Pelodiscus sinensis: one gene and its partners. The protein of the gene in region 2 purifies or fractionates together with the protein of the main gene of each other region. This does not show direct contact. Links are inferred from orthologs where the notes say so. Each region holds a gene or a part of one and is shown on either strand. Other genes may lie near its edges. The genes, in order: UBR2, NRP1 and PLXNA1.

Region 1 (3,747 bases), on a different chromosome or scaffold from region 2:
ATGTTATGCTTCAGTGCCACAAGCTGCCTATTGTCCTCTCTGTCCCCCCCGAACCCACCACAGCTACAACCTGTGTCTAAAGAATCCACATGACTTCACTGGGGTTTTTAAACATTCGATTCACAAGTCCTGGCCTGCCTAAATAGGAATCAGAAGCAAAGTAGTATGGACTATTACAGGCTAAACCACTCTAGGCTGGCACTCTTTGGTCCAGCAACATCTGTGGTCTGGCATGATTTTAGTTAGCCAGATGTGCAGTTATTATGGGTGTGGCCAAGAGTCCCACGATCCCATAATGTTTATTTACAGCTACCAGTCCTGGCTCTCAGTGTTCTGTGCTATTATTTAGCTCTAATTTACCCTTAAATGTCTTCTAAGAGCCCAGTAAGCAGTAGGAGTATTTGTGATGCTGATAGATAATATTGACCTCCTGTGTGGTTCAGCAAATTCTCTGGTTCAGCACTGGTCAGGTCCCAAGGATGCCAGACTAGAGAGGTTCAACCTGTACGAGGAAAAAGTACTACATTCCAGAGCACAATCAAATGAGCTTTTTTTCCTGAACAGTCACAAAAAAATGACTGACAAAATGAGTAACAGGAAAAACATGACAGAAATCAGTACTGGACAGTGAAAATACTAAATATGGCAAGGTTCACTTTACAAGCATGCAAGTCTGGCAACCAGAGATCAGTAGGCAAGGCTCAGAGCTGGTTCCAGTTCAAAAGTATTTCTGACTCAAAGACCTTGCAAAAAGTCTAATTAACAATGCAAAGCATGTGTATTTATGTACTTTAATGTAAAACAAAATCAAAAGGATATTTCAGAAAATTGATCACTTCAGAAGAATTAAATGGCAAAAAAAAAAAAATTACCACAAAGTGTATAATTTAGTCTCTAACATATTTATTGCATATTTGAAAGACATCACTGCATGTAAATATTGATACGTAAAATGACGTGTGGCCGAAAAAGGGACCAAATTACATTTTATCACAGGATGAGAGGATCTTATTAGAAACTATACAATTCATGGTCTGTTGCTGCTTCTTTCCCCAAAGGGCCCTACTTAGTCTCCAGTAACAGCTCCCCTTTGCCACCTTATACACTCTAGTTCTTATAAATGTTTGAAGAACCTGTAACAATTACCATGTCATGATTATGTAAGTATTTTAAATATCCACTGTGTGAAAAGTGTTTTTATTTCCCTACATCTAATAACACAGCACCTGAATAAAATGTGACGAAATAAGGGAATAAATCAAATTTATCATTGAAATAATTTCACATTTGCCACCACAAGTGTCCATTAAAAGAGATAACTTAAATATTAAAAGCATAAAAACATGATAATTTGAATCATGGAATTTTTTTTCTGATAAGGTAATTATAAATCTGTTATTGACATTTACAAATAAAGCTCTGATGCTATGAACAGTTACACCCAAGAGAGCCCACTGAATTACATATATGAACCATAGAACACTCATACAAAAGTACTTAGTTCCATTGAACACTACTCTTAAATGTTCCCAAAAAGGGAATGCTTCTCTTTCTCCACTCTCCATGAGCATAAGAGGTCAGTTATCTTGTGACTGAATTTTAAGGTACAGTGTAACCCCAAATACAGTTGGCACAGAAAAACAGCTGCTTGTCAGAGAGAGGAGAAAGGGAAAAAAAAACTTAGGAAATCCACAACCCTGCAAATAGGTGTATGGGAGCAGACCACTGCTCTCTCACACAATCCCACTGAAATCAATAGGTTGCTGTGCATGGATCTGTACTCATGAAGCTCTTTCCAAGCTTGGGGCCTAAGCAGCTGAGGCGGGTAGAAGGAAACACTGTTTTTAAAACCTTCTCCCAAGCAATCTTAAGAACAAAACTTAAAAACTGCGAAGGGAAGAGGAGCCAGCAACCCGAAATACAACCTGTTGAAATCAGAGACTGCCGGGCAAGTGACCAGCCTGGGAGAGGAAGCCGTAGAAGTGGGACTCGAGTAAGGCTTGGCACAAGCCAAGCAGACGGGAGAGCTGACTTTGCTCTTCGCTTCCACGTCCTGTCACACCTCAGCGGGCTTGACACGGCAGCAAGTTAACACGAGAGAGTCTCTAGTTCACGGGGCCCCTTGAAACAGCCCCGCCACAATCGCCCCTCGCCATCAAACATATTTACCTCCCTGCCACCTCCGCCCGCCCCTAAGGCAGCGCGAGAGATCGCCTCCCCCCACTGCCGGGCCTGGCCCTACGGACCCCCCTGCCCACACACCCAGCCCGCCCGCAGGCCCGCTCCCCTAACGGCCCCCGGGGGACGAGCCTCACCACGGCAGCCTCCTCGGCGGAACATTCCAGCAAGCTCCTGTCAATGGCCTGAACCTCCGTCTCCAAGTCCGACGCCATCTTCCTCCCCCCTCCAGCGGCACCACCAAGTAGGTGACACCCGGAACCGGACCCAGCCGGCCTCCCCGCGGGGGGAACCCACTTCCGCTTCTGCCCCTCCCCGTTCCTCGCCGCCGGGCGGGGTATAACTGCCCTCTCCCTTCCGCCGCGGAGACGCCATCGTGAGCTGGCGGTGCATTGTGGGGGATGTAGTCCTAGCGCTGGAGCTGGCCCTCTGTCCTTCCTTACAGAGGTCCCTTCGCTTGGCTGGTTGACTGACGTCATGGCCCCTCTGCCTCCCCCCCCCCACCTCCCCATTCCCGGTGCTGCCCAGGCTTTGAGACCCTGACCACTGCGCTGGGGACCAGTGCCTCTCATATTGGCCTACAGGTTTGCTGCTGCTTGTCCTAAGCAATGCACCACCTATGGCAGCTTCCCCACCTCCTTATGGTCGTTGCCAAGGTCCTACAAAATCAGCGTCTCATTCTATTTCGGTATATTTCTGAAGATTTTATATATGGTAAATTTCATGATTTCAGATATTTAAATCTGAAATTTTACAGTGTTGTACTTGTAGGGGTTCTTCTGACCCAGGAAAGAGTTTGGGAGGGGATGGCAAGTTGTAGGTAGTTGCAGTACTGCTACCCCTACTTCTGCACAGCTGCTAGCAGCAGCATTGCCTTCAGAGGCTGGAGAGTGGAGGCTGCTGGCCAGAAATCAAGCTCTGAAGGCAAAGCTACTGCCAGCAGCAGCTTAGAAGTAAGAATGGCATGGCATGGCATGGCATGGTATGGTATTGCTCCACTTACCTCTGCGCTGCTGTCTGCACAGTTGAGTTGTCAGTCAGCAACTGCCACTTTCCAACCACCCAACTCTGAAAGGCTTTAGTGTGCATGTGGGTCATGTTCCCAAGAATTTTCTCCACCACTAAGAGATCTAGAAATTTACTTTTTTCTATTTTTAATTGCATAAATCCAGAAGTTGGATCTTTAAGACAAATACAAATAGTGCAAAGGTTGGCAGTGCTACAGTTACACTATTGTGCAAGTAATTCTGTGGCTCCTGAAGAGCTAAGAATATAAGAACAGCCACATTGGGTAACACCAAAGGTCCATCCAGTATAATATCCTGTCTTCTGACAGTAGCCCCAGGTACCCAGAGAGAATGAACAGAACAAATAATCAAGTGAGCTATCCCCATTACCTATTTTCAGCTTGTGGAAAACAGAGATTAAGAACTCCATTCCTGGCTTCCTCCATCAACTTATCTAATTCATTTTTAACCCTATTAAAGTCTTTGCCTTCACAGCCTCCTCTGGCAAGAAGTTCCACAGGTTGATTGTGCGTTGTGTGAAAAAATACTTCCTTTTCTTTGT
Region 2 (3,747 bases):
AAAAGGTGTTGCAAACCAAAAAGCTCAAAATATGCAGCTAGTGATCACTGTGAACTGCCTTTCTGTGGTTCCAAAGGAACCTAGCATTATTTCCAGTGTGTAGCAGACTTGGGAAGTGATCCTGTCTTATTAAGTCCACTACAGCTCTGTGCAAACAACATGGCAGAATCTGGCGTCTGTTCAGTGAGTGAAATAAAACAGTGCTGCTTCTAGTCACTTGACAGAGTCACTTCAGAAGACATTGAGGCTGGACTCACTACCACCAGTACTCTTTAATCTGTGACTTCTGGGAAAGTGACTGTATAATAAGATAATGCGGACTGCTAGACTCCCTGGCTCTGTACAATCTCTTCAACACTTAATTAAGAAGAGCAGTTTCTGATGACTTTGGACCATTAGTTCTAAATAAGGTTAATGAATTAATTTAGCAGACACTAGCATTGGAAGGAGGTGGACATTGGCATTAACAGGTCTGGTAAGTCACAGAGGAGGTTAATGGCCTTGGTGACTCCAGGAGGGCTATTATGTCTATACCTACACAAGCAGCCCTGCTTCTCAGACAATTTCTTCAACAACAGCCCTCCCTATTTCTGCTCTGTTTTTAAAGGAAGACGATTACCAGTAATGTTGCAATATCACCCCTATAACACACTCCTTTTCATTTAGTCCTATAAGCTTCAGTTTAATATCTGTTATTTTACCACTTCTGCCACAGCTCCAAAGTGATGCAGAAATATGGAGCAGTCATTTCACATTTATAAATAATGGCTTCAGACAGAAAGAGGAGGTTAATGTTACTCCCCACCTTCTTACCTACAGCTTACAAGGGTTAGACCAGGCTGGATCTCACTAAAGATTCACTGCTTAAGACTGGCACATGTTTTCTTTTTTGGATGTGTTTGCTTCTGTGTCAGATCACTGAAGAAGGAATCCATTGCTTATTAAATTAGACATCCTCCTCAAAATTTATTGCAAAGAGATTAATTTCCATCATAAAATGTGATTTACATTCTCCACTCCAAGACACCACTTGTATATTAAAACAATATACCACTGCAAGTGGAGGATGCTCTCTTTTTTTAATTACTTTGATTGAAAGCCTAGTCAGGCAAAAGTAAATATTTGATAATTAGTTAATAATAATTGCTCAGGATTTGCTGGGAAAGGAAAATTTGCAGGAGTTTGCTCATATCTCTTAGTTAAATGTCAAACAATACTACAATTAGTCCATCTTAAAAAGTACACAATTCAGGGAAATAGTGTGCCAAGGCATTGTTCAAGAAGAGCACCTTCTTTTTAATTAGCTATGTTTTCAAGTGTTGCCTGAAAGTAAACTAGATATTAAAGTCATTGTTATGAGATTTCTCTATTACACTTGAATCCTAAACCCTTGCAAGCCTATCACATTCTTCTATAGACACTATTCAAGTTCCATGAGAACTCCAGACTATTGCAATAAATAGGTTAGGTCTTATTTGACAAGACTACCTGCTAGGCATCTACAACTATAAAAGATGATAGTCTGAACTCCCCCCATCCCCGGCACAAAAGCCTTCCTTTAAGGTGCTTGTTATCTTGCAGATTTTAAGTCTTATTTAATTGCCTATGGGAGGAAACATTATTAAGATAATTGGCTGCTCTAAACTTGTGAAAGCGAGCAGTCCCGCTTTAGATAACAACCAAAAGGGGCTGAAAATAAAGTTTAAAGGGCGTGTGATGATTATGTGACAGGAGGGTGCAAATCATTTGTACTGAAAAGTTCCTCTTATTCTAATATCAGGTTGATCTTCCTTCCAGCGCAAAACAGATCTCATTGTTTATTAGAACTCACCACTGGGCCCTAACTCTGGAAATATTCTCTGAATTAGTTAATAACTTGAAATCGGTTGTCTTCACTGTCACTTACCGCTCCTTAAAGCCCTGGCTAGGGTGAAGGTGAGGGCTGCATATTGCAAAAGAAGTCCCCAATCCATCTTCCTTTCTGATTGTAGAAGGAGAGAGAGGGGAAAAAACTCCTCACTCCTCACAGCACACAACTCCTCTCAGCTCTTAAATCCTCCGGCAGGAGAGGGGAGCAGAAGGCTCGGTCCGCAGCAGCAGCTGAGTCCCGGGTGGCAGAGACGCTTCTTTTTGTGTATGTGTCTCAAGTCGCCTGCATCCTGTCATTTAGCTCTGGTTTCCTCTCCCTTTTCCCACAGTCGCTCCTTTCCCAGGCGTCGCTGCCCCTGCCATTTCCAAAGAGTCTAGAAAGCCAACTGACAACAACAGCAACAAATCCTGGAGGCTTCTGGAGCTCCCGGAAGATTTCTCCTCGGGAGGGGTCCGGGAGGAGGGGGATCTGCAGAGAGGAGAGAGAGACGATGAGCGGGGAGAGACCGGAGTTTTGCAAACTGCCTCCCTCTCTTCTCCAGAGCAGCTCGCCTGCAACTCAGCCACACAAACAAGTTTGCCCCCGCGCTGTCCCCTTTGTACGGGGCCCCCAGCAGCCGCCAGTGTTCGTGCCTAAGACTGACCTGCTGTGTAGGGGGAGAGTGCAGGGCACCACGGCTGGCTACGGCCGGGCACCTGCAAATGGGACGTTGCTGCCTGGCGGGTTAGCGGCTCTGACTGGCATCCAGGCGGAGGACTGGGATCGCAGGGAAGTGTGAAGCGCCGGGCTGCTTCTCGCGCCGGGCGGCTCCTCCCTGCAGCCTGAGGAGAAGCGCAACTCAGTGGCAATAAGAGAGGAAGAGGAGCCGCCGTCTCCACAGCCCCAGTCCCCTCCCCCTCCCCGCCCTCTTCCTCCTCCTCCTCCTCCTCCTCAGCCCCCCAAGACATCGGCAGAAAGGAAGGACCAACAAACAAACAGGACACGCTGGGGTCTGAACTTCAGAGGGGGCTGGAAGCCACGGCGAGAGGCGGCGGGGGGGGGGGGGGGGGAGAGAGGCCCGCCCCTTTCCCTTTGAAGACAGCAGGTCTGGGCGCCAGGTAAAGCCAAGTGGAGCTGACAAAGCGTGCGGTATCCAGCTGCACCGGGACAGAGCCGGAGGCCACGGCGCGGTCATTAAGCAACAGATTCCAGCGCAGCCCCTGCTGCTTGCATAGTGCCCGCTGGGCACTGCCCATCACCTCGTCCCGTCACCTCCCATCCACGACGCGGCGCGCCCTGTGCTCACCCCCCGGCATGGCTCAGCGCCCAGCGTGTCCGTGAGCCGCCGTCCCTCCTCTCCCTTTCCCGCCGCCTCCTTGGCTCTAGCCTCTCCACAGTCAGGCTCTTCTTCCCACCGGGCTCATTGTCCCTTATGGTCACTCTCCAGGGCTCGCTGCCCGCTTTGTGCAGCCCAGTGTACCCAGCCTTTCTGACTCCCGCCCCGCTGCGCTGGGTCACCACCATCCGCCCCCCACCACACACCACCCTGCGCATTCACCAGCACGGACCCCGGCCTGCGTTATGTGGCGTGCCCACCATCCCTGCTGTTCACTGCCACCGTCCGTCCTGCACCTTCCAGCGCATCCACCATCGCTGCCCCCATCCTGCTTTGTGCAGTGCGCTCAGCGCTGCCCACCCCTGGCCATGCACCGCACAGGGCGCTCGGGCTCCAGCACCGCCGTGTACCCCGCAGTAGGTCTCCCCTCTCTCGCCCTGAGTGTCCAGTTGTGCTCGCTATCCACAGTCTGGCATCCCCGCTGTCTGCTACTATGTGGCCAGTGCCCATCCCACCCCTAGTCCCACAGCCCCGTCTGTCCATACACACGCCCCACTGTGTG
Region 3 (3,747 bases), on a different chromosome or scaffold from region 2:
GATGGGCTCAGGATACAGATCTGCAGTGTGTGGATGGTGCAGGAGTGTTGTGGCAGAAGACTGGGGATGTGAGGGTGCAGGAGTTTGGGGATGAGAGGCGCTCAGGACAGGGGGTTCCAGTGTATGATAGACTCAGGTTTGGAGTCTGCGGAGGTACAGGAGTGTTATGATGCTGCGGACAGATGGGGGCTTGGCCCCAAATTGGGGCTTGTTGGCCAGGCTTCATTTTTAAATAAAATATGTCAAACACAAAATGTTTCAGCGTTGTCTTTATTTATGAGAGGGGCAGGGAACCTGTTTTGAGTCAGGGGTCACTGACCCACAGAAAAGTCAGTCGGGGCCACACAAGTGAGATGCAAAAAAAAACAACTGCTCCAACCTCCCTCCCCCCCCCCCCAAGCCTCACTAATGTGGCCCAACTGTGCTGGTGGGGGCAGGTTGCTGGGGTTTGGCCAGGGGGACGGGACAGAGACAGCTAGGGCCAGTACCTGGGGATCCTGGTTCTCAGGAAGCACACTGGCTGCTCTTCCCCTCCCCTCCCCCAGGAACCTCCCTGCTCTAACCCAATCCCCCTCCTCCCCACTTTAACTTAATTCTGGGGTCCTGGAGCCACCGCTACAGCCACGTGTCTCCCTCCAGGCGCTGGGGCATGTGCGCTGAGCGGCTGGCACACCATGCACACCCCCGCCAACCCAATCCCCCTCCCTTCCGTTCCCCAGAGCCAGACACCTCCCCTCCCCACTCTAACCCAATCCTCCTCTACCACTAACCTTATGCCCAGGTCCCAGAGTTGCCACTGGCGCCACCGCCACCCCTGAAGCCCTCGTCACTGCCACTGCCTGCGCTCAGCAGCCGGCTACTAGCACATACAGACTGGGACATGGTCTGCAACCTGGCCTGCACATGCAGGATATGACACAGTACGCTGGGGGCCGTGAGCAGCTGACCTGAGCGGTTCCGGGTTCCATCCGGGTTCTGTCAGGAGCCGCCATTTTTTTTTCATGCGACTCGTGAGCCGCGGGTTGGCCACCTCTGGGTTAACCGGTTAAACACGGTTAACGGATTAAAGGGAGGCTAGGGGGAATGGGTTGCTCCAGCCTCACGGGGGTAGAGCAGCCACCCTGCCATGGACAGGGGCTGTTCCAGCCAACCGGTCAGAACAACCCCTGCCTGCAGTGGGCCCCGAGGCTGGTGCAGTTCCCCGCTCTCAGTGGACAGCGAGCTGCTCCAGCCCCTACTGGTTAACCAGAACCAGTGTGCAGCACCCATTAAGGTGAGGCTTACTAGTTAATCCATTAACCATTCTCATCCCTAGCTCAGACTAGAACCCAGAAGGCTCCACTCCGAATCCACAGCCCTACCTAGATGATTCTTCCCTCCCAAAGCCCAAACCAGAAGCCAGGATTCCTTAATGTGATGCTCCCTACTCTAACCACTCCACAAGCCTTTGTCTCTGGCCTTTCTACTGCCCCACTGTGCACCAACCCCCAGTGCCTTCTTTTACAGAGCAGAGCCTACAAAGGGTTACCCTTGTAATTAGCAGCTACTTGGGAAGGCAGCACAACACCAAAGCAGGAGGAACTTTATTTTTTAATCTATTTTTTTTTTAAAAAAAGCCTCAGCGCAAGCCTGCTTTTAAATTCAAATGTGCAATATGGGCCAGCGCCTTGGAACCAGACTGAAACAGCGGATTTGGGCAAGGAAACAAGGAATATTTCATTTCAGCTCCGTCCAAGCCGTCTTGATTTATACAGTACTTTGTGCAGGCAGAAAAAACCATTCTCAGGGCTTTGCAGCTTTAGTAATTAGCTCTCCGCCTACCGCCCCACACAATGGGCAGGTGACAATGGAAAGGCACATGTCAGAAGCAGGGGATGCCCAGGGGACTGGGCAAGTGAGGCCAAGTTCTCACCTCTGGCGTACTGGTTCCAATAGCAGCAAATCAGTGAGGGCTCAGGGTTGGGACTGCTATGTGTGGGGAGCCCTGTGGATCAAGGCTCAGGTGCACAGCGAGAACCCCTTGTTAGCAATGGCACAGCTGAACCAGTGCACAGGTCAGCTGCAAGTCATAATCACAACAGTAATAACGCCTACCTCCGACACAGCCGGTGTGTCCAGGGACAAGCCAGGCCCAACACCATTTCAGTCACCACTGTTGCACCCTGCGCTGATCAGGGTGCTTTATTGATCACATCCGCATAGCACTGGCATGCACACCCTCACTGAGCTTCCAAAGTCCAGTCCAGGCCTGCAGAGGGGTCAGATCAAACCTAGGCGGGATTAGTCAGGGCAGCCTCTTCTCCGGCTGTGCCAAAGCCCTGGTCAGGCCTCCAAGAGGGACAGGGCACTGCAGTTACTCACACATTACCTGAGGGGCTCATTCGGTGGCCTGCATGAAAAGAGATGGGGGGGACTCTGGCCAGTCCCCAGAGGGCGGATGTGCTCATCATTAAACTCCTCACCCCAAGGACACTCTCTGGAAATCTCTGCAGTAAGGAAAGAGCTCACCATTCTGGAGGTGCGGTGAACATTCCTGCATGTGTACACGCGTGTGCGTGTGTGTGTGTAAATGACACAAGATGACATCATAGGACTTTTCTGTCTCTAATGTATGTGGTTCTGTGACAATATGGACTCCCCTGGCCTCCCCTCTCACCTGTAAGAGTTGCCTCTCCCCAAGCCTGTACCCAAGAATTTCTGGGGTGTGTGTGCAAGCTCTGAGAGGCTGGTGGCTGCCCTGTCCCCCCATGGCCCAACAGTCCCCCGCCTCCCCACAGCCCAGCCCCACCCCCAGCCTCGCTCCTGGGTGAGGAAGGGGGGAATCATCCCCAGTCTTCTCAGGCTGGCCAGAGCACGGGGGGTGGGGGTGGGGGACAAACAGCTCAGTGGTGGGCATGAAAAGCATCGAAGATCCAATCCTTCCCTGTACTCTTCAGCCGCACTTTCCTGACTGCTGCAATACCCTTTGCAGAGTAGCTAACAGATACCTTTCAGATAGCAAGTGCATTGCGGAGCCAGCTGGGAGAGGCACAGGCCAAAGGGCCCCTGGAGGGTCACTCAGCCTGGCCAGCATCACCTAGGAGCCCAGGTGGAGAGCAGCTTCAGGGGCTGGTGGCCACACTCCGTGGCAAAATTGGAGGGGAAGGACACATCACATCTGTGACCTGATGATTACAGTGCAGCCCCAAGAGGCTGAGCCTATCTATCTGCAGACCACTGTTCTGGGGACAGGGAATGCAACAGGGCACCGAAAAACTGGATTAAGGGAGGTGGGGAGAAAAAACCAAACCTGGGGAACCACAGTATTAGCTGGCTGAGTGAGCTATGGGAGATGAAGCGCAGCACATCTCTGGGGGTACCACTGCCATCTGCTGGTCAAATGGCGGGATAGGTTTTTTTCCTGGATATATCCCTTCACTTCACCCCACGTGGCACAGGGAGACTCGCCTATAGAATCACCCTCCTGTGCACAGACACACTCACGCAACCCTACCTTCTTGCACAGGGATCCATAAACTCTCACGCCCCAAAGAAACATTCCTGCAAAAAGACTCATTGCTACATGCACCGTTCTGCAGAGCTGCACCGTAACACACATACCCCTACGTCTACAAACCAACCCATACAGCAATAGCCCATTCAACGAGACAAAATCTGTACAGCCACCCTACCACGCGTGCACACGGAGACATGCACAGGTGGCTGAACTCAGAAGACTGTGGCAGCTCCCATTCAGCATCAGGCCAG

What was found.
Region 1: the proteins of NRP1 (region 2) and UBR2 purify together in Homo sapiens (affinity purification with mass spectrometry; 3 studies listed by BioGRID and IntAct, counting the BioPlex papers as one, with this or other methods). This does not show direct contact. The link is inferred for Pelodiscus sinensis from reciprocal best matches to the Homo sapiens genes NRP1 and UBR2.
Region 3: the proteins of NRP1 (region 2) and PLXNA1 purify together in Homo sapiens (affinity purification with western blotting; 4 studies listed by BioGRID). This does not show direct contact. The link is inferred for Pelodiscus sinensis from reciprocal best matches to the Homo sapiens genes NRP1 and PLXNA1.

The regions. Positions count from the first base shown.
Region 1 is NC_134713.1:171,037,978-171,041,724, forward strand, and holds the start of UBR2 (E3 ubiquitin-protein ligase UBR2), read right to left. Parts: upstream 2,497-3,747; 5' UTR 2,394-2,496; coding exon 2,316-2,393; intron 1-2,315. UniProt on the Homo sapiens protein: E3 ubiquitin-protein ligase which is a component of the N-end rule pathway.
Region 2 is NC_134712.1:230,631,959-230,635,705, forward strand, and holds the start of NRP1 (neuropilin-1), read right to left. Parts: upstream 2,741-3,747; 5' UTR 1,974-2,740; coding exon 1,907-1,973; intron 1-1,906. UniProt on the Homo sapiens protein: Cell-surface receptor involved in the development of the cardiovascular system, in angiogenesis, in the formation of certain neuronal circuits and in organogenesis outside the nervous system. Mediates the chemorepulsant activity of semaphorins.
Region 3 is NC_134721.1:24,047,832-24,051,578, forward strand, and holds the start of PLXNA1 (plexin-A1), read right to left. Parts: upstream 2,224-3,747; 5' UTR 2,095-2,223; intron 1-2,094. UniProt on the Homo sapiens protein: Coreceptor for SEMA3A, SEMA3C, SEMA3F and SEMA6D. Necessary for signaling by class 3 semaphorins and subsequent remodeling of the cytoskeleton. Plays a role in axon guidance, invasive growth and cell migration.